Xenopus tropicalis: one gene and its partners. The protein of the gene in region 1 purifies or fractionates together with the protein of each later gene. This does not show direct contact. Links are inferred from orthologs where the notes say so. Each region holds a gene or a part of one and is shown in the gene's direction. Other genes may lie near its edges.

Region 1 (8,673 bases):
GCCTGGCATTAGACAACTTGTTATCAACAAAAACCCCTAGATCCTTCTCCATTAAGGATACCCCCAACACACTACCATTCAGTAGATAGTTTGCGTTTATATTATTTCTACCAAAGTGCATAACTTTGCACTTATCAACATTGAACCTCATTTTCCAGTTTGCTGCCCAGTTATCTAATTTTGTCAAATCGCTCTGCAAAGCGGCAGCATCCTGCATGGAACTTATAGTTTTGCACAATTTAGTGTCATCAGCAAAAATAGAAACAATACTGTCTATGCCCACCTCCAGGTCATTAATAAACAAGTTAAACAGCAAAGGCCCAAGGACTGACCCCTGCGGTACTCCGCTAACCACACTGGTCCAATTAGAAAATGTTCCATTTACAACCACTCTTTGTACTCTATCCTTCAGCCAGTTCTCTATCCAATTACAAATATTATGTTCTAGGCCAATATTCCTTAATTTGATCATTAACCTTCTGTGAGGTACTGTATCAAACGCTTTAGCAAAGTCCAAGTAGATGACATCAACTGCCATTCCAGCATCAAGGTTCCTACTCACCTCCTCATAAAAGGCAACTAAATTAGTCTGGCAAGATCTGTTACGCATAAAACCATGCTGGCACAAACTAATAGTATTGTGAACTGCAATGTATTCAAGTACCCTATCCCTTATTACCCCTTCCAAAAGTTTTCCTACTACTGATGTCAGACTAACAGGCCTATAGTTTTCAGGCTGAGAACGGGATCCCTTTTTAAATAACGGCACCACATTAGCAATCCGCCAGTCTCTTGGCACCATGCCAGACCTCAATGAATCCTGAAAAATTAAGTGAAGAGGTTTGGCAATCACAGCGCTCAGCTCATTTAATACCCTGGGATGAATCCCATCCGGCCCTGGACCTTTGTTTACCTTTACATGTTCAAGTCTCTTTTGAATTTCCTCCCGAGTGACCCATGCGTCAGTAGCTAAATTACTAGAACTGGGCATATTACAAGGGAAGCCTTCATTATCTGGCTCCTCAGATGTATAGACAGATGAAAAATAAGAGTTCAAAATTTCAGCTTTTTCCCCGTTTTCATCAACCAACGTACCCCCCCGTGATAATAAAGTTCCCACCCCTTCTTGCTTCATTTTTTTACTATTCACATAATTAAAAAATAATTTTGGATTCTTTTTACTCCTAGCTGCAATATCCCTTTCCATCTCTGTTTTAGCTTGCCTGATAGCTTTTTTGCATGCTTTATTTGCTTCCTTGTACCTGATGAAAGCCCCCGCTGTCCCAGCTAACTTGAATGCCCTAAAAGCACGTTTTTTCTTACCAACCTCGACAATAACACTTTTATTCAGCCATAAAGGTTTTGCTTTGCGATGCCTCTCCTTGCTTACTAGGGGGATATACTGTTGTGTATACCTACAAAGCAATGTTTTAAAGATGTTCCATTTTCCTTCTGTGTCTAACCCCATGAAAAGCCTTTCCCAGTTGACACATTGCAGAGATGCCCTTATACTGGCAAAGTCTGCACGTCTAAAATTGAGTGTTTTAGTTACTCCCTTATAGCGCTGTCTCTGCAGCATTATCTCAAAGGAGACCATGTTGTGATCACTGTTCCCCAAATGCTCACCCACACAAATGTTAGAGATAAGTTCATTATTATTAGAAATCACCAGGTCCAAAATAGCGTCATTCCTAGTGGGTTCTTGAACTGCCTGAAATAAAAAGTTGTCATTTAGCATATTTACAAACCTACTAGCTTTTTCTGACTTAGCCACCCCATTACTCCAGTCAATGTCCGGATAATTAAAGTCCCCCATAACAACAACTTGACCCAGTTTTGAAGCCTCCTCCATTTGCAACAATAGCTGGGCCTCATCCCCCTCATCTATACGGGGTGGTTTATAACATACACCAATGATCATTTTCTTTGTGACCTTCAGCCCTACTGAAATTTCTACCCAAAGAGATTCGACGTTTTCATTGGTAATGTCTTTATTACATGGCTTTAAGTCTGACTTTACGTAAAGACAAACCCCTCCACCCTTTTTAATCTCTCTGTCCCTCCTAAAAAGTGTATAACCATTTAAATTCACAGCCCAGTCGCATTTATCATCCCACCAGGTCTCAGTGATACCTATTAAATCATAATTTTCAATACATGCAATAGCTTGCAGCTCCCCTAATTTACCCGACAAGCTACGCGCATTAGCCAGCATGCAGCGGAGATTATTACTTCTCCCTCTGATGTTTACATTAGCTAAGGGAGAATTAGAGCTAAGGCAATTATGAGACTGCTTTCCTTGTAACGGAAGCTCCTTATCTGATAAACTATATGCCCCCCTCACTCCTCCCCCACAACCCTTTGCTAGTCCCCCTACCCCGTCTACACTAATTTTCCCATGGAATTCTAGCTCACCCACCCCCCCCTTGTCTAGTTTAAACACTCCTCCAACCTCTTAACCATTCTCTCCCCTAGCACAGCAGACCCCCTTCCATTGAGGTGCAATCCGTCAGGGCTGTATAGATTGTACCCCAAGGAAAAGTCAGCCCAGTGCTCTAGGAACCCAAACCCTTCCTTCCTACACCAAGACTTTAGCCACGCATTTAGCTCCCTAAGCTCCCGCTGTCTCCCTAAACTTGCACGTGGCACCGGCAAAATTTCCGAAAAAATGACATTGGAGGACCTTTGCCTAATCTTAGAGCCTAGATCCCTGACTCCTGGAAATAAACTGTTACCTGTGATTGAGACATTATATAAGCATAAAGGTTTTTGCAACGTAGATCTGAGCGTGAGACTGTTACTGTAACTACATGTTCAGAAAAAAATAAACGTGAAATAAACAAATAGAAATTAAAATGATGACAATTTCACTTGCCCCTAGTTTGCACAAAACCTATTTGGTCAGATTGGGAGAAGGCTCTGATTGCCACAGGTACGGTTACCAAACAGCAAAAAGTATAGTTTCTTGGTTCTCTGGCAGTGAGTTTGAACTGCAAGCAGAAACTATAATATAAGTATTATTTTCTTTCACAAAAGTAGGAGGCACGACTTAACAAAACAGAATGTGACAGGACCCGCCGCCACTTACTAGCAGCGCCTGACTGTAAAACGCCGAATTACGCCTACTTGTCACTCCCACAAGGCGGCTACGTGATTGCGTCACTGCGCTTGCGTGTAGTTGTCCCGCGTTCTGTAACACAGTAGGCTGAGAGGCTGCAGCTACATTTTCGCGGGAGGTGTAAGTAGCGTTCCGGGCCTGCTGATTGCAATAGGAAAATTGGGACTGTTGGGCTGTATTGGGAAGAGTGGGACTTCTGAATAGTATGAAAGCTGAGTAGGGGAAAGAACATGCAGGCACCCTAGCAACCACACTCTTGAAGTCTGTAGCTTACTGACAGCTAGGGGCCCGGTGGTACAAGTAAATGCAGTACAGCCGGGGCTGATGCTGGCCCAATGTATTCATTAAAAGTTTTCAGTGTTTAAACTTAATTTCTAAATGTAATTGCCATTGAGATCAGTGTTTGGCTACTTTTCTGTACTGGTGTTTCTGACTGTTGAGACAGAGTAGCAGAAGCAAGCTAATTAACAGACCTGTTGACTGAAAACAGATCTGACGGCTGTTAAATTTCGATAACAGCAAAATGTATAACTACTGGAGAAAATGTTAAATTAATATATATAAATAAGTGTTCACTCAGACACTTGCTAAGTAATGTTGCATGAAAATGCATCTTTATTGTTGTCTGCTATCCTTGCACGTTGCTCTGTCAAGAAAAACTAAAGTTTATTTGGTTTTTCTTCATTTCAAATCCCCCTGCTGAACCACAGCATTGCCCTGCTTGAACTGTTTTAGTGGCCAGAATATAGAGCTCTGTAACAGGATTCTCAGTCACCACATGGCCCATGTCACGTCTGGTTGGCCACTTGTATCACTGATGTTTGACCCAGGCTGTAAGCCTGTGATCTCCAATCAGTAACTGAACTTGGATGTTGCTCTCAGTGCCCCCAAACCAGGTAGTTATTTTTGAACTTGGGGGCAAGTTTTGGTTGAATAAAAACAAGATTTACTACCAAATAAAGCTCCCTGTAAGCTGATAGTGTGCATAGAGGCTGCCTAATAGCCAATCTTAGCCCTTATTTGCCACCTCCATGAACTTTTATGATGCTTGTGTTGCTCCCCAAGTCTTTTTACATTTGACTGTGGCTCACGAGTTTGGGGACCCCCTGCTGTGCCCTGCAAAGTTATTAGTTGTAGAACTGACATTTCTAAGAATGATATTGTATAACAACAGGAACAGTGCTGATTTTAAAGCTACTGACATATTTCCAATATTACATAAATAATGATATATGTGCAACTCTGTTCTAGTTAGGGCTGTCAACCTAAAAACATAGATAAAAAGTGCATTTTATATCTCTTATCAGCACTAGTTAAAATTAGCTGCCTTCCACAAGTAATGTTGGCAATTGACCAAGATACTTATGTTGGTGGAAATACTTTTTCAGTTGTTACTATCATTGTAAATAAGCATGTATATATAATACATTTTGATTTGCATTATAATTCATAAGTCATATACATAGTCCTTGCTACTATTTTTACAGAGCTGTCACAATGCAGGCTTTTCTAAAAGGAGGAACATCTATCAGCACCAAGCCTGTGAAAGATAAAGCATCTGCATCTGGCACAGGGAGCACCGGGGAAAGCAAAAAACAGAAGCCTGTTCCATGGGTGGAAAAATAGTAATGATTGTTTAAAGCATACAATTGATAATGCTGTTACATGCTTTAAGTTGATTACAATTTTTTTTCCAAAATACAGCTTGTTAGTATTTGAGTTGAGTTGGATTATTAGCTGGACAGCTTTTTTTAATTAGCACATATAGTGTTTTATGTGAGACTTCCTTTTAAACTAAATACCTAGGGGCCCATTTATCAATATACAATTCCAAATCACGAAATACGATGATCACAAATGTCACAAATTCTTTTCATTTCAATACGAAAATTTCGTGCTTACGATCTGAAAGTTCCGAAATTTTTGGATTGAAGCGATCGTTTGCGTATGGCGATCCTATAGTCACAAAAATGACGTATCCCAACAATCGTAAACAGTGAAAAACCCTTTCTAACTTTGACACTTCAATGCATGATGTGGGAAGCTTTCCAAAGGACTCAGTGGCACTCTGCAGCTCCAACCTGGCCAGAAGAAAGTCACGATACTGAAGCTTGAATGAATTCCGAAACCTTCGTACTCGTTGCGACAAATACGATTTTGTTGCACAAATTGTTGCAACGCACAAAAAAGTTGCGGAAATTAACAAAAACATTTTGGAAAATACTCGGTTATATAAATTAGAAAAGATATGATATTTTTGTAATTGTAACCATTTGTATATTGATAAATAGGCCCCCTAGTGTTTCTTTTGAGGTATCAGTGCTAATTTGCACAATAAAAAAGAAATGTATATTCTTTTGCATGACACAGTTTAGTGAATACACATAAAGACTGGAAATTTGTGATTTATTTTGGAAAATGTTGTTTTTTTTTTTTCTTTTTTTGGTATTTCCTGGTACAATGGGCCTGTGTACTTTTCCTTAAGCATAGTTTTCTGCCTCTGATATTCCCTTTTTCCCCATGAGAAAATAGAAAATATAAGTTCAAGGACAAGGAAGGTTATCATTTAATAGGACTTCATCAGCAACAGCTCACACATACTTTCAATCACCTGGGTAGGGGTTAGAAGAAGGACTAACATGACACTGCTGCATTTTTTGTGTTGTGCTAAACTCTTGTAGACTTGGGCCAGATCATGCACACAACAGAGATTCTGAGCCCTGCAAAGTAATTCTTCTGGGTGCTGTCCTGTGGGGATTAAAAAGCACGTGCACACTTCTGTCCACATCAAATGGTCGACCACAAAATTAAGAAAACTATATTATATTCTATATCTGAAGACTGGGGAAGGATTATTGTTAGAAAGAAAGTGGCATTTTAAGAAAGCACGAGGAGCACTATCATTGGGTAGTAAGTGCTTAAGATTTAAAGGACAAGTCCATAGAACTGTTCAAACTGAAACTTGAAACAACAAGCTAAATCTTCTCCTTGAATCGTTAAAGGACAAGGAAAACTACATTCACAAAGTGGGGGGGGGAGGTGCCAGTTTCTTAGCCTTCCTTCATTGAAATAATTAATGTACTTTTTTCCCTGGGCTGCTTCTGTGTAAAAAAAAATGTTTAAAAAAGTTTATATGATATGCTGATGGTTTATATTGTTGGCAACTTGTATAAGTTTTTATTTTGCTTTTTCATTAGCTCTGTTGAGGAGTATTTTGTTATTATAAGCCAGACTGCTGTAAAGTTATTTTAAAGAAAAGCTAAAGCTTATTTAAATGTGCTTACAAAAACTGCATAATTAATAAGAGAAAATTTAGCGATAAACTGTATTATAGTGAAACTTCAATTTTACATGCCCTGATTTTAAGTTTTCGTGCATTTTAGACTATTGTTTTGTGGTCCCACTAATATATAGCACATAATAAACTTCCATGATTTTACATTTTCCCAGAATTTGCACCATTTTTTTCTGGTCCCATGAAAAACTTAAAATGGGGTGAAAATAACTCCCTATCCACACACAAAAGTCTCTTGTTGCATAGTTTATTTTAAAATTGCCTACATATTAAGCAGTGCTATAGAGTGCGTTGGGCAGAATAAAAATAATAACACAAGCATAAACAAATCAAAAAAAGGCCTCCCTCAAAGTGCTTACAGGTGCTAATTTACTAATAAAAATTGATCTATGCAGTAACCAACAGTAAACAATAAGCAACTAGTTACAAGTTTGAAAATGAAATCAACAAGCTTATTGGTTATTCTGGGTAACTGCACTGGTGCATATAGCACCCATCTTAATAAATCAGCCCCATAGCCTTTTGCATTTGTGCCTAACAAAGTTATGGGTGTTTAGATCATTCTGTTTACCTTCTTTGCTGCTTTTGGTACCCTTCAATATTGTGACATCATAACATAACCAGTTTGGCATGCATATGTTCACATCTACACGTGGATACCACTTAAGCTTGCGCAGATCTTTTGATGTGACTGATTACAAGCACAAAGACCGCAGTCGTGTGCAGTGTCACACAAGGTTATATTTCTGGGCTTTAGTTGCTGCTTCAATAATTATAAGTTAAGTTTCTTAAATTCACTTAATATGAACTACAGGTTCTGTTAAATTTCTCATGGACAGTAATACTGACACATCTGAAATATGTTTATGAGGTTGGTTCATATTGGGTTTCTGAGTTTAGTTTATTTTTATATATAATATATATATGTGTGTGTGTTCAGTGTATAAACCCATTTATTGTACAGCACTATGGAATATTTGGTGCTTTATAGGTATATGTTAATAATAATGTTATTGGGCAGCAAACATTGTACAGTATTGAATGTAAAATTATAATGTAAATAGCCACTGGCCATTAGAGGGCACTGTGAGAACATATTTAGAAAGATGTCTGTGAAGATTTTTTTTTTTTTTTACTTTATACAACACAGATTGTCCTGTCTTCTGCTTGTGTTTTTTGGTTTATTTATAGCACTTTCATAATTGTTGTGGTTGACTCCTCATCTTTGTATTTTCTGTTGAACTGGGTCTTTATATGTCCAAAATTAGGCACCTTCAGAAGATTCCTGATATAATGATACTGGTATAGCTAGTATAGAGAAGGTAAAACATACTCAGGTGCAGTTTGCTGTTCTCACAAAGCTATATCGTAGTTTATTATGAGTTCAGTGATTCTGATTTCCTTATTTGTTTTAATTTTTAGAAAAAGCTTTTGCTTGCTTTATAAACATTTCCTGTATATTTCTATGCAGCCGACCCAAATGTGTAGATGAGGTTGCCTTTCAAGAAGAAGTTGTTGCTGTACTAAAAAAATCACTGGAAGGTGCAGATGTAAGTTAGATTCCTATAAATTTCTTTCTTCATTGTGATGAAAATTTAATATGAACAAGTACAGAATTTTTCTAGACTACTCAGGACCTGGGGTTTTTAAAAAAAGAGATCTTTCTGTAATATGGAGCAACATACTGTTTCTGCTAAAAATTATGTAAACATTAAATAATCCAAGTAGGATTGTTTTGCCACCAATAAGGATTGATGCAGCTTTGTTCAAATCAAGTACAAGGTACTGTTTTATTACAGAAAAAAAGAGTATCACTCCTAAAAATTTTAATTTTTTGCTTATTATGGGGCCTATGTGAGAAGGCCTTCCTGTATTCCGGAACTTTCTGAAACCACGCACAGTGCTGGTTGTTTTAATATGGAACGAGAGTGCTGCATGCTTTCTATAAATATAGTAGTTCGCTATCCAAAGCATTAGGGCCTGCTTAGAAAAGCAAAATGTAAATGCCAGTTGTAATTTTAGTACTGATTATGTAAGGAGTACAGAACGTTATCATGTCACAAAGACTTCAGCTAAGAGTTTTTTTTTCTCCTTGAATAGACTGTTGTGAAAGGAGTTTATTGCATGGAATGTTCTTCCATACGCTTAACTTTTTTTTTTAATTAAAATTCTTACTTTTTGAAAATAAAACTTGTGATAGTTGATGGGTTGTTGGGCAGATGTATGTGACATTTTGCTTGCTACCATCTACTATTTCCTA
Region 2 (8,175 bases), about 61 Mb from region 1:
ATTTGTAAAAGTATTTACTGTTGCCATTAGTATCTGTGTGGCTGTTAATACTATGCACATCTGGTTCTGACTTCAGCAACAATGTATCAGAAACCACCTGATCAAGATTGCAAGAATAAATACCGCTTTTCAGTAGCAATTTATATTTTCACACAATAAAATTAATGTGTTTTCCAAAGGCGCTTAGGATTGCATGTTTATGGCCCCAGTAGCTTAGTCACACAGATTGGGAAAAAGTTTGTAAGTTCCAAGGATCCTGCATGTCCATTGTTTCTAAATCTGTCAGCCTGTATTGCAGTACTGCCACTAGCCCCCCCCCCCCCCCCCCCCCCCCCCAAACTTTTAATAAACCTACTCCCTTGATATTACTAGGTTGTAAATGCATCCTTGTGGGTTGATTGGAGGTGTGTGGCATATAAATCTGGTACTATATTTGCAAAGAAGCATCAAGCAGTACAGCATTAGAATAGCCTTGTAAGTAAGTCGTTGGGCTGAAAGGTACTGAGGAGAAACAGGAAGTAGTATCCCAAAATAGAACAGTGGAAAGCACAAAGGGAATGTTGGGTCGCCTTGCATGCCCCCCAAGCTCGTTTCCCTAGCTGCACAGACACTCCAATTGTAGGGCTGCTGAAAAATGAGCCTTATATCTGACTTCAACATTCATGAACTCATTCATAGAGGAATGCATTTATTTATCTGTTTGCTGGAATACAGATTCCCCCAGAGGCTGGCTTACACTCCAGTGACCTCTTGTATGTGATCTTAGAAACCTGAAAAGCAGACAGGAACTTTGTTGTAGTAGTCCTTTGCTATTTGCCTTCTGGCCACATAAAAAGCCACTACAGAATTCCACCAAGTAGAACATTTTGTTAGGCTAAACATTTGTGCATGTGCTCTTACTTTCAATTTCATATTAGTTCGACATACACATACTGTGTAGAACATTGTGTGCACTGAGACTAAAACAGTTTTTTGTCTGTCTTGACTTGTTGGGTATAGATTTTCCTCCTGCTGAGCAAAAAAAAAAACTGGAAAAGAGGGTGGAAATACAAATACAAGAGTAGTATGTAATTGAATTAACAATAGATCATCATTTTGTCTGAAACCAAAGAGATGCTTGAGTTAATGGCACACATGGCAGCTTCCAGCAATAATTGATAGACTGAACCAAGCGACTGTTGGCCTGTCATACTGAAAGTGATTGGGGTAATTTTGAGTGTTTTGGGGTGATAAGTCAAGCAGGCATTCAGCCATACTTAGGACATTAAAGTATAGATATGTATTTTACAGCTCTGCAGGTTATGCAGACTATTACAGGAGTAGGCTGTGTTAACTGGAATGCTTGGGAACTGGGGTTTTACGTATAAAGGATTATTTGGATCTCCATACCTTGTCTGCAAAAATGAATTATAAAATTAAATAAATGCAATAGGATTGTTTTGCCACCAACATGGATTCACGTAGCTTAGTTACCATCAAGTACAAGGTGCATTTTTATTATTACAGAGTAAGGAAATTTTATTTAACAATTATATTTGCTTAAAATTAACACCATAGAAGATGGCCTTCACATAATTTGGAGAATTCTGGAAAACTGTTCCTGATAAAGGATGCCATACCTGCACATTAATGATAAAAACAATCTCATTTTGTGCTTGTGGAGATAAATACTGTACTTGCTACTTGTGAAGTTAGTCTGTGAGAATTACATTGGATTTAATTTCTTGATCATGTAAGAATAGCTGCAAGTGTTTCATTGTAAGTGTATGGATGTGGTTTATAGCTTCACATTCTTATTTCTAGATGGAAAAGATCCAAAAGAGAAGAAAAGGGGTGTGAAAAGGCCACGTGAGGACCATGGTCGTGGCTATTTTGAATATATTGAAGAAAATAAATATAGCAGGTAGGTACAGTTTTGTCCAGTGCCATTCTACTTTGCATTTTTACATGGCTTTAACTATATTCTTATTTCAGGGCAAAGTCTCCTCAACCACCAGTTGATGAAGAAGATGAGAAGTTGGATGATACCATGGTACTTCTTGATACTTGTAAGTCTTTCAGATTAAGTTATTTGGGAAAACCGTGTTCATTAATGTACCCAGGATAATGTATTATCTGCTTTTCTGTTGTCAGTTTTAAAAAAACCCAAAAGAATTTTCAATTTGGTTGTGCCGGCCACCCAGTCATCCCAGGGCTCTGTTTAGACCAGGGGTGGCCAATACATTGATCGCGGTCCACCAGTCGATCCTCCGTGGATTTCTGATGGACCGCGATGAAGTTGGGATGAGGAAGTGCTGTGTGAATGCGTACGTATGCTGCATCACATACGCATTCACGCTGCATTTCCGCATTCCCCGGTGGACCAGCGTAGATGTTTGGACCAGCGTAGATGTTTGGACCAGCGTAGATGTTTGGACCAGCGTAGATGTTTGGACCAGCGTAGATGTTTGGACCAGCGTAGATGTTTGGACCAGCGTAGATGTTTGGACCAGCGTAGATGTTTGGACCAGCGTAGATGTTTGGACCAGCGTAGATGTTTGGACCAGCGTAGATGTTTGGACCAGCGTAGATGTTTGGACCAGCGTAGATGTTTGGACCAGCGTAGATGTTTGGACCAGCGTAGATGTTTGGACCAGCGTAGATGTTTGGACCAGCGTAGATGTTTGGACCAGCGTAGATGTTTGGACCAGCGTAGATGTTTGGACCAGCGTAGATGTTTGGACCAGCGTAGATGTTTGGACCAGCGTAGATGTTTGGACCAGCGTAGATGTTTGGACCAGCGTAGATGTTTGGACCAGCGTAGATGTTTGGACCAGCGTAGATGTTTGGACCAGCGTAGATGTTTGGACCAGCGTAGATGTTTGGACCAGCGTAGATGTTTGGACCAGCGTAGATGTTTGGACCAGCGTAGATGTTTGGACCAGCGTAGATGTTTGGACCAGCGTAGATGTTTGGACCAGCGTAGATGTGATCATTTGGCCAGTACATGTCTGTCTGAAGACTTTATAACCCTTTCTTTTGATAATGTATAGAGACTTTTTAACCATGCCGTATTGTATGTAGGTGCTGTGTATAGCTTCTCAGCTAAGATGTTGTCTATCCATAATCATATTTTATAGATAACTGTGATCTTCACTTCAAAATTTCTCGTGATCGCTTAAGTGCATCATCACTTACCATGGAGAGCTTTGCACTTCTCTGGGCTGGAGGGAGAGCCACTTACGGTGTATTAAAGGGGAAAGTTTGTTTCGAGATGAAGGTAAGTGCACTTACAAATGCAAAAGCTGTCTCGAACCGACAACTGTTAAATTTTACTTTTTAACCAATCAAACTTATTTTCTACCCCCTAGGTAACTGAAAAGATTCCAGTTAAACATGTATATACAAAAGAAACAGATGTTCATGAAGTTCGTGTTGGCTGGTCATTGAGCTCCTGTGGATACATGCTCGGTATGTAGATAGTAAAGGGAGAATATATCCCTATTAATAAAGTTTGCTAGGCTATAGGTATCCTTCATGCCAGCAGACCTTATCTGTCTTTCTAGCTAGAATTTTGAAGTAGGCCATCCAGCCTCTTTGGCATTGAATAATGCAATATTTCTAAGTTGGTTTTCCATTCCTCTTGAGGTTGTGTTTACAATTTTTGACTTTTTGCAGAACTTCACATAAAGATTAAATATAACCTGTTAATGATCCATTTAATATGCCTTTTAAATTAGGTCTGTCAGTCTTGAAACACATTTAACAGTCACTGCTCAGAAATGTTATGAGGGATTTGCATAAAAATAAATCCTAAAAATGCCTTCTCATTATATAGCCAGCATGTCCATGAAGTTATGTTATCCAAGACAACTGGGGTTTTCATAATTTTGAATTAGCATACTTTAAACTGCTAAATATTTAAAAAATTAAATCTGCTATAATTGTTTGGTTGCAAATATAGATTCATACAGCTTAGTTATGATCAAGAACAAGTTGCTGGTTTTGAAAGTGGAATTAGTAAAAAAAAAACAAAACAACTTTATGGGATATGGCCTTCCTTTAATTTGTATCTTTCTGAATAACTGGTTTCATGGCAAAAGTTACCATATCTGTATTATAATTTGGAAAACAAATACATTAACAGCCTAATACAATTTTATTTTTGCTTTACTAGGGGAGGAGGAAAATTCCTATGGTTATTCTCTCAAAGCAGCAAAATGTTGCAATGGTGTTGCTGAGGATTATGGAGAGAAATATGATGAGAATGATGTGATCACTTGCTGTGCTGTGAGTAATTCATGTTTAATTCCCATTAAAACATCTTGTGTGCTACAGTTGGAGTTCTTTTAAATTTGGCAAAGTATAATGAAATATCTTGCTTTTGATTGGGTTAGCATTTAAAAGTGGGGACACTAATTTTGATCTTCACTGGTTTTTTTCTGTTGCAGAATTTTGAAGAAGATGAAATAGAACTTTCTTATGCAAAAAATGGCCAAGACCTTGGAGTTGCTTTTAAGATTAACAAAGATACCATATTGGAGCAGGCTCTCTTCCCACACATTCTCTGCCACAACTGTGCCGTAGAATTCAACTTTGGGCAAATGGCAGAACCATTTTTTTCTATCCCTGAAGGCTATACATTAATTCAGAACGTTCCTTTAGAGGACAGAGTCAGAGCACCTCTGGGGCCAGAACAAAAGCAGGATTGTGAAGTAAGTATATTTGAAAGTAAACTGAAGAGAACAGTTTTTTTTTCTTCTCCCTCTTTTTGCATCTTTCAATTCATGTTGTCTGGTTTTGGGTGTAAACTATAGGTGGGAGAACTGGAAAGACATTTAGCCAGTGCTTATTGTTGCAGATACTCTAAGATCACTGCTCTGTAGTGCTCCTCAAAGCAAATTAGGCAGAAGGGTGTCCAAGCACTTCTGCCTTGTGCTAGTGCTGAGTTCATCTGGCCTTGGCATGTTTGCATGTTCTCTGTTTCTGTGTGGGATTTCTTCCACACTCATACAGGCAGGTTAATTGCTCATGATTAACACTGATCATGTTGGTGCTATTTAAATACTGGATAATAAAATCTTTACTAGGTTGAAGATAAGTGATACACACGCTTGCCAAGGACAGTTACTGTTAAACTTCATTGGAACTCTTGTTGGTTAATTTATCTTGTGTTTTTATGTGTGGTATAGTGATATGGTTATTCGTGTCATAATGCTTAATATGTGCTCTTTTTTTTAGAATTAAGAATACAAATACATTTATTACATTCAGAGCAAATATGTTTTTTTTTTTTTTAAAGGTTATAATGATGATTGGCTTGCCAGGTGCTGGAAAAACAACATGGGTAACTAATCATACTGAACAAAACCCTGGCAAATACAACATACTTGGAACGAACACTATTATGGAAAAGATGACGGTAAGAATCCTAATATATAATTTTGGTATGTTAACCTTTTTTTTTTTTTTTTTTTCTTGACATTTTTACTTTAAAACCCTTTTCTTTGTAGGTTGGCTGCAAAAAGCAAATGTCTGACACTGGAAAGTTAAATGCTTTGCTGCAGAGGGCCCCACAGTGCCTAAGCAAATTTATTGAGATTGCTGCTCGCAAAAAAAGGCATTTTATCTTGGATCAGGTAAGTTTTTTTTTTATATATATATATATATATATATTATTTATATTGCCATTTTTATACAGGGCCTTAGAGAGACATACCTTGACCGGCAGTGTTTTCTGCTTTCAGGCAATTGTTAAACTTTGTTTAGAAACCTGCTGTCTTCTATATTTTGTTAAATAAAAAATATAATTAATTTTAGTCATGTATGCTTTTAAATATAAATAAATTGTATATTTACCGTTGGCTAGTAAAAATTTCAGAAAACTTACCATAGTCTATAGAAGTAAAATACAAGTTAACCTTTTCTCAGAAGAACCTCAGTAATTGAGGTTGGTAATTAGAAATGTTATTAACTAATGTAGCATATTGTAACAATTTAAAAAAAATCTGAAGTTTTTGCATAAGTAAAGGAATTATTCAAAAGGTGAAAAATGAAACTTTAAATTTTAGTATTAGAATGTCAAGTTATTTCTGATCTATTAGAAAACAGTGGGAGTGAAAATATTTTAAAGGCAAACAATTCTTTAAAGTGATCCATAATTTCACATGTTAATATGATAATTATTAATACAATAACAAACCTTGCTTTCAGCATACAGGGCTTTTTTTTTTTCAATAGAAATAAGTCCATTTTACCTCACTTTGTATAAAACTTATAACTGAAATATAAGCTATAGTAATTAAGACACCTTGAGCTTTCTAACCTTTAAATGCAGTATTTTAAGTACAGGTGTGGAATATATTGTACAAAATACTTAGCACCAGGGAGTCTTTATACAAAATGGAGCACCCTGCCATAAGGCTACTAAGGTGCCTTAATAGTTTTCTAATAATAACCAGAACAGCAAAATCTATTTGTAATCATACAAGGCCCCTCTGCCTTTCATCAGGTTTAAGCTGTAGTGTGTGTGTACATACACTATCAAACTGATTTGTTTCTTGTGTTGAGTGGTGCAAAGTGTTCCAGCTTTGCCTTCCTAAAGTTAACATTTTTTTGTTTGACATTTCTTTTCTCTTTTGCAGACAAATGTGTCAGTAGCTGCACAGAGAAGGAAAATGTGCTTGTTTGCTGGCTTCCAACGCAAAGCAGTTGTTGTTTGCCCAACAGACGAGTTATATAAAGAGAGAACACAGAAAAAATCTGAGGTGGAAGGCAAAGATCTTCCAGAACATGCAGTTCTCAAAATGAAAGGTAAGTAGATTTCCATGTTCTTGATCGCCATTGAGCCTCTTCGCAAGGCAGTTTTTCAGAGCTTATGGCTTCTATGCTATGATCTGACACAAACTTGTTATTGGTCTCTAATTTCTACTTTACTTTGTAACAACCATTCTGATATGGTGCTAATATGATGGCCCCTGATAGAGCACATTTTTTTTTTTCCCTCTCAGGTAACTTTACTCTTCCAGAAGCAAGTGAGTGCTTTGATGAAATCAGTTATGTGGAGTTGCAAAAGGAAGATGCTGATAAACTTATTGAGCAGTATAAGGAGGAGAGTAAGACGTCCCTTCCACCAGAGAAAAAACAAAACATTGGAGCAAAGAAACCAAACAAGAACAAAAATACCAAAGGCAGAGGTGGTATGTCTCACGGTCATGGACACAGAGGCCGGGGAGGTGGAGGATACAATATGCGTGGAGGAAATTTCAGGGGTGGAGGTATGTTTGCACCATGTAGTTGTACAGAATATTGTATACATTTAGTAAAGAGGGCTGAGGCAAACATATCAAAGATGACTTAGTTTCAGAATTTGTTCATTGACCTTTGTCAAAACCACCTTAAATATTTAGGCAGGGGTTCAGTGAAGCTGTGACCACAACAAGAGGTCCTCTTGAGAGAGAGATGCCCTCCCCTTTAAGCAACAGGGATTGTTTGTCCATATACTGCAATATACATCCAGCTGGCCAACTATGTCGGTCATCCATGGTCTGGGCAGTCCTACACTTGCTTTTATCTGATTCATTAAAACACCCAAATGGTTGCCCTTTTATTGGCTCATTGGGATCACCTGACTGTAGCTGGAAAGGGTGGGGGTTACAACATGACGCTTACCACTGCTTCTGTGCAAACTAACAAAAAAGGGAAAAGTTGTGCTCACCGCTAAATTTTAAACCATTAGGCATAAATTTAATAACTAACTATCTTGTAGCTCCAGGAAACCGTGGAGGATACAACCGAAGAGGAAATATGCCCCAGCGTGGTGGTGGAGGCGGTGGTGCCGTTGGGTATCCATACCCCCGTGCACCAGTCTATCCTAACAGAGGTGGCTATGGTAACCGTGGAAACTTCAACCGTGGCGGGGGCGGTGGAATGCCCAGCCGTGGCAACTACAACCAGGTAAAACTTTATATTAAGTTTTAATTGTCCCCTCCCATCTTTCTTTGTGCCATGTTTTAGGAAACAAGGGGGGAATTTGGTTGCTAAATATCTTAATTGAGAAACTCTGCATTGCAGTTTATTGACCTAGAATTTTCTCTGCAGAACTTCAGAGGAAGGGGAAATAATCGTGGCTTCAAAAATCAGTCTCAGGGTTACAACCAGTGGCAGCAGCAGGGTGTAAGTATCTCTCACTGAAAT
Region 3 (7,477 bases), on another chromosome or scaffold:
TCCTTCTATTTGTCTGTGTGAGAGCCTTTCTATCCCTCCCGGAGTGGGTAAAACAGCAGCAGTGTGTGCCCAAGAGCTTGGCTTAAAGGTAAATAAACTGGCTGCTATGCCAGGCCTGTGCCGTATCCTTCTATTTGTCTGTGTGAGAGCCTTTCTATCCCTCCCGGAGTGGGTAAAACAGCAGCAGTGTGTGCCCAAGAGCTTGGCTTAAAGGTAAATAAACCGGCTGCTATGCCAGGCCTGTGCCGTATCCTTCTATTTGTCTGTGTGAGAGCCTTTCTATCCCTCCCGGAGTGGGTAAAACAGCAGCAGTGTGTGCCCAAGAGCTTGGCTTAAAGGTAAATAAACTGGCTGCTATGCCAGGCCTGTGCCGTATCCTTCTATTTGTCTGTGTGAGAGCCTTTCTAACCCTCCCGGAGTGGGTAAAACAGCAGCAGTGTGTGCCCAAGAGCTTGGCTTAAAGGTAAATAAACTGGCTGCTATGCCAGGCCTGTGCCGTATCCTTCTATTTGTCTGTGTGAGAGCCTTTCTAACCCTCTCTCTAGGTATTTGAAGTAAACGCATCATGCCAGCGCAGTGGGAGGCAGATCTTGGCACAGCTAAAGGAAGCCACACAGTCTCACCAAGTGGATCAGCAAGGGGCGAACTCCCACAAACCATGTTTCTTTAGCAGTTTCAGCTCCACAAAGTCTCCCAGTAAGTGAGGTTGTGCATGGCCCTGTTATCACACTAAGTAGACTGGCGATGAATAGAAGAACAAGTGAGGCACTACCCACTGGGCGAGGCACTATGCTCACTCAGCGTTAGGTGCCACTGACCACAGCAATCAGTCATTTCATATTTCAGCTTAAAGCCTGATCTGAAAGGCAAATACATACAGAGTCAGTTGCATATTGTCCCAGATTGTTATCTACCCTTTTTCACTTTAAGGAAAACTGAACTCTCCAAAGAATGTGGTTTCATCCCCAAGGAAACCGCCGGCCTCGCCCAGAGGCACAGGACTTAGAAAAGGGCTGGCACCAAAGTCTCTGGCAAATTTTTTCAAACCGCCTGCTAATAAGAGGACCGAAGAGAAACCCAATGCTGCAGAGGCTTCTAAAGGTACTGACTAACAACGGGCCGGGGGCTAAAGGGCATGTGGCAACTGGGTGCTATTACAGATCTGTGGGCTGCACTCAAACCATGGCCTCTAGTGTCCAGTTGTCAGACATGGCGGGATGCTTTCCTAGTTTTACCAGGGCATTACTGTGAAAGGCCAAATCATTTCCTTATTGTAGTTATTTGGCTTTATCTAACATCTCCGAGCAACCTCGCCCTATGGTTGGGCTTAGTGACCTTATAGGAAGGAGAGTAGTACTGCCCACCTGTATCTCACTCTTTCTGTGCTTACAGGCTCCCTTATTAGGGGACTTAGAATAGTAGAGCCAATCAGTGTGCCCATCTGTTGTGCTACTTAAAGTAAGGAGATGGTTAGGGCCCACCTGTATCTGTTATGCAGTCCCCTTATCAATATGCACTTGGAACAGTAATAATGAGGTTACATATCTGCAGTTAACAGGCCTATGTGCATTTTGCAGGAGTTGCCAAGGGTACGCTCAGACTGAGGGAAGCCGAAACTAAGCCACATAAGAGTCAAGATGCAACTGCAGAAAAAGAATCTGGATCAGAGGAAAAACACAGAAAATTTGCTACCTCACTTATTCTATTTGAAGAGGTATATTCACTTATTCATTATAAAGCTAAGTTGCCCCACACAGCGCTAATGCAGGGGCTCCTGTAATGGTGGTACCTGGGGCCCCTGCTGCTCTGTGGGATCTGGCAAGTTCCTGACTGGTCTGGCAACACTGCCCTCTCCTCTGTGTTATCATTGCAGGTAGATGTAATATTTGATGATGATGTTGGATTTGTGAGTGCGATCAAGACTTTCATGAGCACCACAAAGCGGCCGGTGATTCTCACCACGAGCGGTAAGCCCAGCCCCACGGCTGTTCTTTTGCCCAAGGTGCCAAATGAATCCACTGAATACTTAGTACTTACAGAGAATCTGCATACTGGGCCACTCTGTATATTTGTATATAGAACATTGTGCAAAGGCAGGGTACCTTGTGAATCGGCTGCTTCTGCAAATGGGGTGTGACTAGTAGAAGGCATACATTCTGTTAAAAAATATACTATTTAGGTAGTTTAGACACGAGCCAGTAGCCATTAAACATAGCAGCCAGTAGGGGAAGAAAGTCTTCCCTGGACAGGAAGTAACTATTCTCTCATTGTGTCCCCTTCCTATTGTGTCCCCCTTCTAGATCCTACATTTGGCTTCATGTTTGATGGCATCTTTGAAGATATTCATTTTAAAGCCCCTTCAATGGTAAGTTGCCTATTAAGGTCAGATGGTGGGTTCACATATAATGGGGGGTTCAGGGGCAGTTTGGGTTTGGACAATGTTCTTATTTTTACAGACCAATGTTGCCACTTACTTGCAAGTTCTTTGCTTGGCTGAAAACCTCAGAACAGAAACAAAGGATTTTCTTACATTTCTATCTGCCAATAAGTGTGACATCAGGCAGAGCCTTCTCCATCTGCAGTTTTGGGCCAGTAGTGGGGGGGGCGCACTGATAGAAAAGCCACCGCCGCAACTCTGCCGTAAGTACCTACCCGCCTCTTCTGTAATGTACATGTATGTGTGACCCAAGGGGGGCAATCCCGCACTAGATAAACTGGGGTTCTGTTTGTTTTGTTGGGGCTGCATGTGGATTCTTTCCATTGATGTCTGTTGTGCCATTTAATGCTGTTTCTCTCCTGTACAAGGCCAGCAGGGCGGCCCAATCACTGAGCTCCCAACATGCAACATTGGCTGCACAGAGAGTTTCATGGGTCTTAATAACATCATTTCACCGACAGAGGGTCTTCTGTCCTTTATAAAGGTGAGTGACTTTGATTTGCCTTTCAATTAACCCTGTATTATCTGTACTGAGTGGTGCAACTCACAGCCCCAGCTGCACTCACTAATCACATTCCCTAAGGTTTTCTGTCATTTCTCTAACTTTCTGCTGTGTCTGCACTAACTTTCATGTGTTTTATCTGTTACCCCAATGTTTCTATATATCTGTAACCTTGTTATGGGCTAAGGGGGCCCACCCTGAAGGCCAGTTAGGGGGGGATTTGGGGTGAGGGCTTATTTGTGCCCTGGGGAGCACGGTGACACCCCACAGTCCCTGTATATCTGTACAAATACACGTATATATTACACATACCGCCTGTACTCTAACAAACTGTATGTATATCCAGCAATTCCTGTTGTGCAGTTCATATGATATATTTTCTCCCTTTAGAATACCCAGAAACAAGAAGGGAATGTGCTTCAGCAGCTGCTTACTGAGTTCCAGTTGAACAATGTGTATTTTACACTAAGCAATTTGGAATTCCTTCTTCCACTGCCAGTTCATGTTGGCCCACCAGCTGTGCCCCTGGAGAGCTCAGAGTGCCCCCCAGCAGGGCTACAGCAGAATGGCACGGCTGATGAGAGCCCAATGAAAATGTCGGTGCAGATGAAAAAGAGAAAGAAGCTCCTAATCCTGAACGACAGTGATTTGTTTGATAGTGACTCTGTGGATGAAATATTTAGCTTGGTATCTGGTGTTCAATCCCAAAAGGAGGCAGAACAGAAAGGCCCCCCTGTAGCTGATAGAGGGGAATGTGGGGCACACCCTGCCTCTGAAAGGCACAGACAGGAGGGGCAGAAGGCCTCAGTGCACCACTGCCTGGGCTCGCTTGCAGACTTTGTGGATAATATGTCCCAGATAGACTGCTTTACATGTAATCCCATGGACCGAGCAGAGCTTTGTAATGGCAACTGGACTGAAAGTCGGATAAAAGATGGTTTGTGTGATGGGCTCAGGCTAGAGACCAGGGACTGGAGCAACAGGCAGAGCTCTGGGGAAGTCAGAGCAACCATAGAAGCTCTTGCCTTTCAGAAGTGTTTGTCTAACCTGTCGGCAGCCATTGCTCCATCACCGGAAACCTGCACAACATCCAGCCACCCCCCCACTGAGGCACTCACTCTGCACGTGTCTGAAGAGAGGGGTAATGTCTGCTTCTGCCAGGGGGAAACCAGCTCCAGGTAATTCTTATTCCTCTGACTAAAAGCATTTTACTGCCTTTGAAATGAGTAAAAGTATAGCATGGGCAGGGGTGTGGGGCAGGTGTAGGGAGACGTCGGGGTGTGGGGCAGGCGTGGGGAGATGGTGAGGGTACAGCGAGGCAGGTGGGGGGAAATAAAACCAGCTTGGAGAGAAACAGCCCCTCCATTGTACTGTTTGTGTTGCAGTGTGGCAGAGAAGCGTCTGGCTGTGGTTCGGACAGTTCTGTCCAGCAGATCTTTCTTCAGTCTGGGCAACAGGCAGTGCAATGTAACGGAGTACCTACCCGCCCTGCGCTCTATGTGCCGCTCCCAACGACTGAAAGAGCAAGAGAAAACTAAGAGAAGGTGGGTGCCCTATTCTCACACAGCACTTCACAAACTGCAGGGGGTGCTACTCAGCCTGCTTACAGCAGTGATCCACAACCAGCGGCTCGGGGGGAACCCCTTGGATATTGCTCCCAGTGGCCTCAAAGCTGGGGCTTATTTTTAGATTGCTGGCTTTGAGGGAAGTACACCCAGGTGTACTGCCAGACTGAACCTCCTGTAGGCTGCCGGCACCCATAGGGGTTATCACATAGCCCATTGTAGCCCTTATTTGGCACCCCCAGGAATAGTTCTCATGTATGTGTTGCTCCCCAACTCTCTTTACATCTGAATGTGGCTCACAGGTCAAAAAGGTTGGGGGTCCCTGGGTTACAGGAAACGCAGCTTGGCGGCAGCGGCGGGACACCTACAGCAACCTTTTATTGGGGGTCCCTGGGTTACAGGAAACACAGCTTGGCGGCAGCGGCACACCTACAGCAACCTTTTATTGGGGGTCCCTGGGTTACAGGAAACACAGCTTGGCGGCAGCGGCGGGACACCTGCAGCAACCTTTTATTGGGGGTCCCTGGGTTACAGGAAACACAGCTTGGCGGCAGCGGCGGGACACCTACAGCAACCTTTTATTGGGGGTCCCTGTGTTACAGGAAACACAGCTTGGCGGCAGCGGCACACCTACAGCAACCTTTTATTGGGGGTCCCTGGGTTACAGGAAACACAGCTTGGCGGCAGCGGCGGGACACCTACAGCAACCTTTTATTGGGGGTCCCTGGGTTACAGGAAACACAGCTTGGTGGCAGCGGCGGGACACCTACAGCAACCTTTTATTGGGGGTCCCTGGGTTACAGGAAACACAGCTTGGCGGCAGCGGCGGGACACCTACAGCAACCTTTTATTGGGGGTCCCTGGGTTACAGGAAACACAGCTTGGCGGCAGCGGCGGGACACCTACAGCAACCTTTTATTGGGGGTCCCTGGGTTACAGGAAACACAGCTTGGCGGCAGCGGCGGGACACCTACAGCAACCTTTATTGGGGGTCCCTGGGTTACAGGAAACACAGCTTGGCGGCAGCGGCGGGACACCTACAGCAACCTTTTATTGGGGGTCCCTGGGTTACAGGAAACACAGCTTGGCGGCAGCGGCGGGACACCTACAGCAACCTTTTATTGGGGGTCCCTGGGTTACAGGAAACGCAGCTTGGCGGCAGTGGCGGGACACCTACAGCAACCTTTTATTGGGGGTCCCTGGGTTACAGGAAACACAGCTTGGCGGCAGCGGCGGGACACCTACAGCAACCTTTTATTGGGGGTCCCTGGGTTACAGGAAACACAGCTTGGCGGCAGCGGCGGGACACCTACAGCAACCTTTTATTGGGGGTCCCTGGGTTACAGGAAACACAGCTTGGCGGCAGCGGCGGGACACCTACAGCAACCTTTCATTGAAATCCTTTAACATCTTTGAAAATTGAAAAGCCGAGTAGCTGTCAGTGAGCCAATAGTGGGTTACTGACTAGTAACGAGTGGCTATTTCTGTTACTGTTCCTATTGCCACTGCAGTAAGTTCCGTTCTAGTGGCTTCTAGTAGTTATTGTGCTGGAACTTTCCCTGCAACCAATAGTAGCATTTATGGAACAAGTAATGCTACTATTGCAAGTCGTTACATATTTGTGTCTGACTTACACATCGTGCCCCCCATATTATACTGTAGTGCAAGGGTTTTCTCTTCTAATAATACTCAGCCTGCCCTGAATCTGCCCAATTGCCCCACCCATGGGAACAAAACAGGACTGTGTCTGGGAATTAATTCTTTTATTCTTTCCCCCCCAGGTTTCTCCATTATTTTGAAGGCATCCATCTAGAATTATCTAAAGCAACAGTGAGCAGCCTGGCAGCAGCCTTTCCTTAATGTGTTTAACTGTGCTGGGGCAGTCGGTGCTACACATTCCCCTCAAACTGCCACCCAGTGGGACTGCTGTAGCGCCTTCCGGCGCCCAATAGCGTGTGTGTGTGTGATTGCGCCATAACGTGCGGCTCCATTGCGGGAGGTCTCTCTGTGGCTTTGGAATTGTATCAGAGAGAGCGGAGCCTCCGTGTTACTAATTGTAATAACAGTGTTGGGTCAGTACCAAACAAGGCCGGGCTCCTATATATGGCAGGGCACATACTCTGTACTATTCCATGTTGGAACACTATAGTGAGCTGTGTGCCCGCCGGCTGCTAATATACTGAGGTGAGTGCACTGTGTATACATGTAAATTTCCTTTGTACAGTTTCTATAGCAGCTCCCTGCTGGCTCTCTGCCTGGGCAACCCTGTATCATACAAATACATTTTATCTAATCATGTGCAGCCTTTTTAATAATATTAAATGTTTTACAAAATAACCTCCTTTTGTAGTGTCATTCTCCAGGTGGCAGTTAATGCCCCTATGGGAGGGGGTGGGATGCACATAGAATAGTCTCCGGGCGGCAGTTAGTGCCCCTATGGGAGGGGGTGGGATGCACATAGAATAGTCTCCGGGCGGCAGTTAGTGCCCCTATGGGAGGGGGTGGGATGCACATAGAATAGTCTCCGGGCGGCAGTTAGTGCCCCTATGGGAGGGGGTGGGATGCACATAGAATAGTCTCCGGGCGGCAGTCAGTGCCCCTATGGGAGGGGGTGGGATGCACATAGAATATTCCAGCTCACTGCCCTATCTCCAGGGGGTGTTACTGCCTAGGGGGCAGAGCTGCGCTCCCCACAGGGTGCCCTATAATCCAGTGTTTGGGGGTGTTACTGCCTAGGGGGCAGAGCTGCGCTCCCCACAGGGTGCCCTATAATCCCGTGTTTGGGGGTGTTACTGCCTAGGGGGCAGAGCTGCGCTCCCCACAGGGTGCCCTATAATCCCATGTTTGGGGGTGTAACTGCCATGGGGCAGAGCTGCGCTCCCCACAGGGTGCCCTATAATCCTGTGTTTGGGGGGTGTCCGTGCCTAGGGGCAGAGCTGCGCTCCCCACAGGGTGCCCTATAATCCCGTGTTT

What was found.
Region 2: the proteins of rfc4 (region 1) and hnrnpu fractionate together in Homo sapiens (co-fractionation; 3 studies listed by BioGRID and IntAct, with this or other methods). This does not show direct contact. The link is inferred for Xenopus tropicalis from reciprocal best matches to the Homo sapiens genes RFC4 and HNRNPU.
Region 3: the proteins of rfc4 (region 1) and atad5 purify together in Homo sapiens (affinity purification with mass spectrometry; 5 studies listed by BioGRID and IntAct, counting the BioPlex papers as one, with this or other methods). This does not show direct contact. The link is inferred for Xenopus tropicalis from reciprocal best matches to the Homo sapiens genes RFC4 and ATAD5.

Annotation. Positions count from the first base shown.
Region 1 is NC_030681.2:105,883,773-105,892,445, forward strand, and holds the start of rfc4 (replication factor C subunit 4), read left to right. Parts: upstream 1-3,224; 5' UTR 3,225-3,238; intron 3,239-4,605; 5' UTR 4,606-4,615; coding exon 4,616-4,743; intron 4,744-7,884; coding exon 7,885-7,963; intron 7,964-8,673. UniProt on the Homo sapiens protein: Subunit of the replication factor C (RFC) complex which acts during elongation of primed DNA templates by DNA polymerases delta and epsilon, and is necessary for ATP-dependent loading of proliferating cell nuclear antigen (PCNA) onto primed DNA.
Region 2 is NC_030681.2:44,497,038-44,505,212, reverse strand, and holds part of hnrnpu (heterogeneous nuclear ribonucleoprotein U), read left to right. Parts: intron 1-1,803; coding exon 1,804-1,903; intron 1,904-1,974; coding exon 1,975-2,048; intron 2,049-3,119; coding exon 3,120-3,259; intron 3,260-3,350; coding exon 3,351-3,450; intron 3,451-4,156; coding exon 4,157-4,269; intron 4,270-4,430; coding exon 4,431-4,694; intron 4,695-5,281; coding exon 5,282-5,401; intron 5,402-5,492; coding exon 5,493-5,618; intron 5,619-6,623; coding exon 6,624-6,792; intron 6,793-6,989; coding exon 6,990-7,256; intron 7,257-7,747; coding exon 7,748-7,935; intron 7,936-8,079; coding exon 8,080-8,154; intron 8,155-8,175. UniProt on the Homo sapiens protein: DNA- and RNA-binding protein involved in several cellular processes such as nuclear chromatin organization, telomere-length regulation, transcription, mRNA alternative splicing and stability, Xist-mediated transcriptional silencing and mitotic cell progression.
Region 3 is NC_030686.2:51,945,562-51,953,038, reverse strand, and holds the end of atad5 (ATPase family AAA domain-containing protein 5), read left to right. Parts: intron 1-545; coding exon 546-696; intron 697-930; coding exon 931-1,101; intron 1,102-1,577; coding exon 1,578-1,714; intron 1,715-1,873; coding exon 1,874-1,967; intron 1,968-2,300; coding exon 2,301-2,365; intron 2,366-2,456; coding exon 2,457-2,640; intron 2,641-2,805; coding exon 2,806-2,921; intron 2,922-3,329; coding exon 3,330-4,117; intron 4,118-4,324; coding exon 4,325-4,483; intron 4,484-6,285; coding exon 6,286-6,364; 3' UTR 6,365-6,841; downstream 6,842-7,477. UniProt on the Homo sapiens protein: Has an important role in DNA replication and in maintaining genome integrity during replication stress.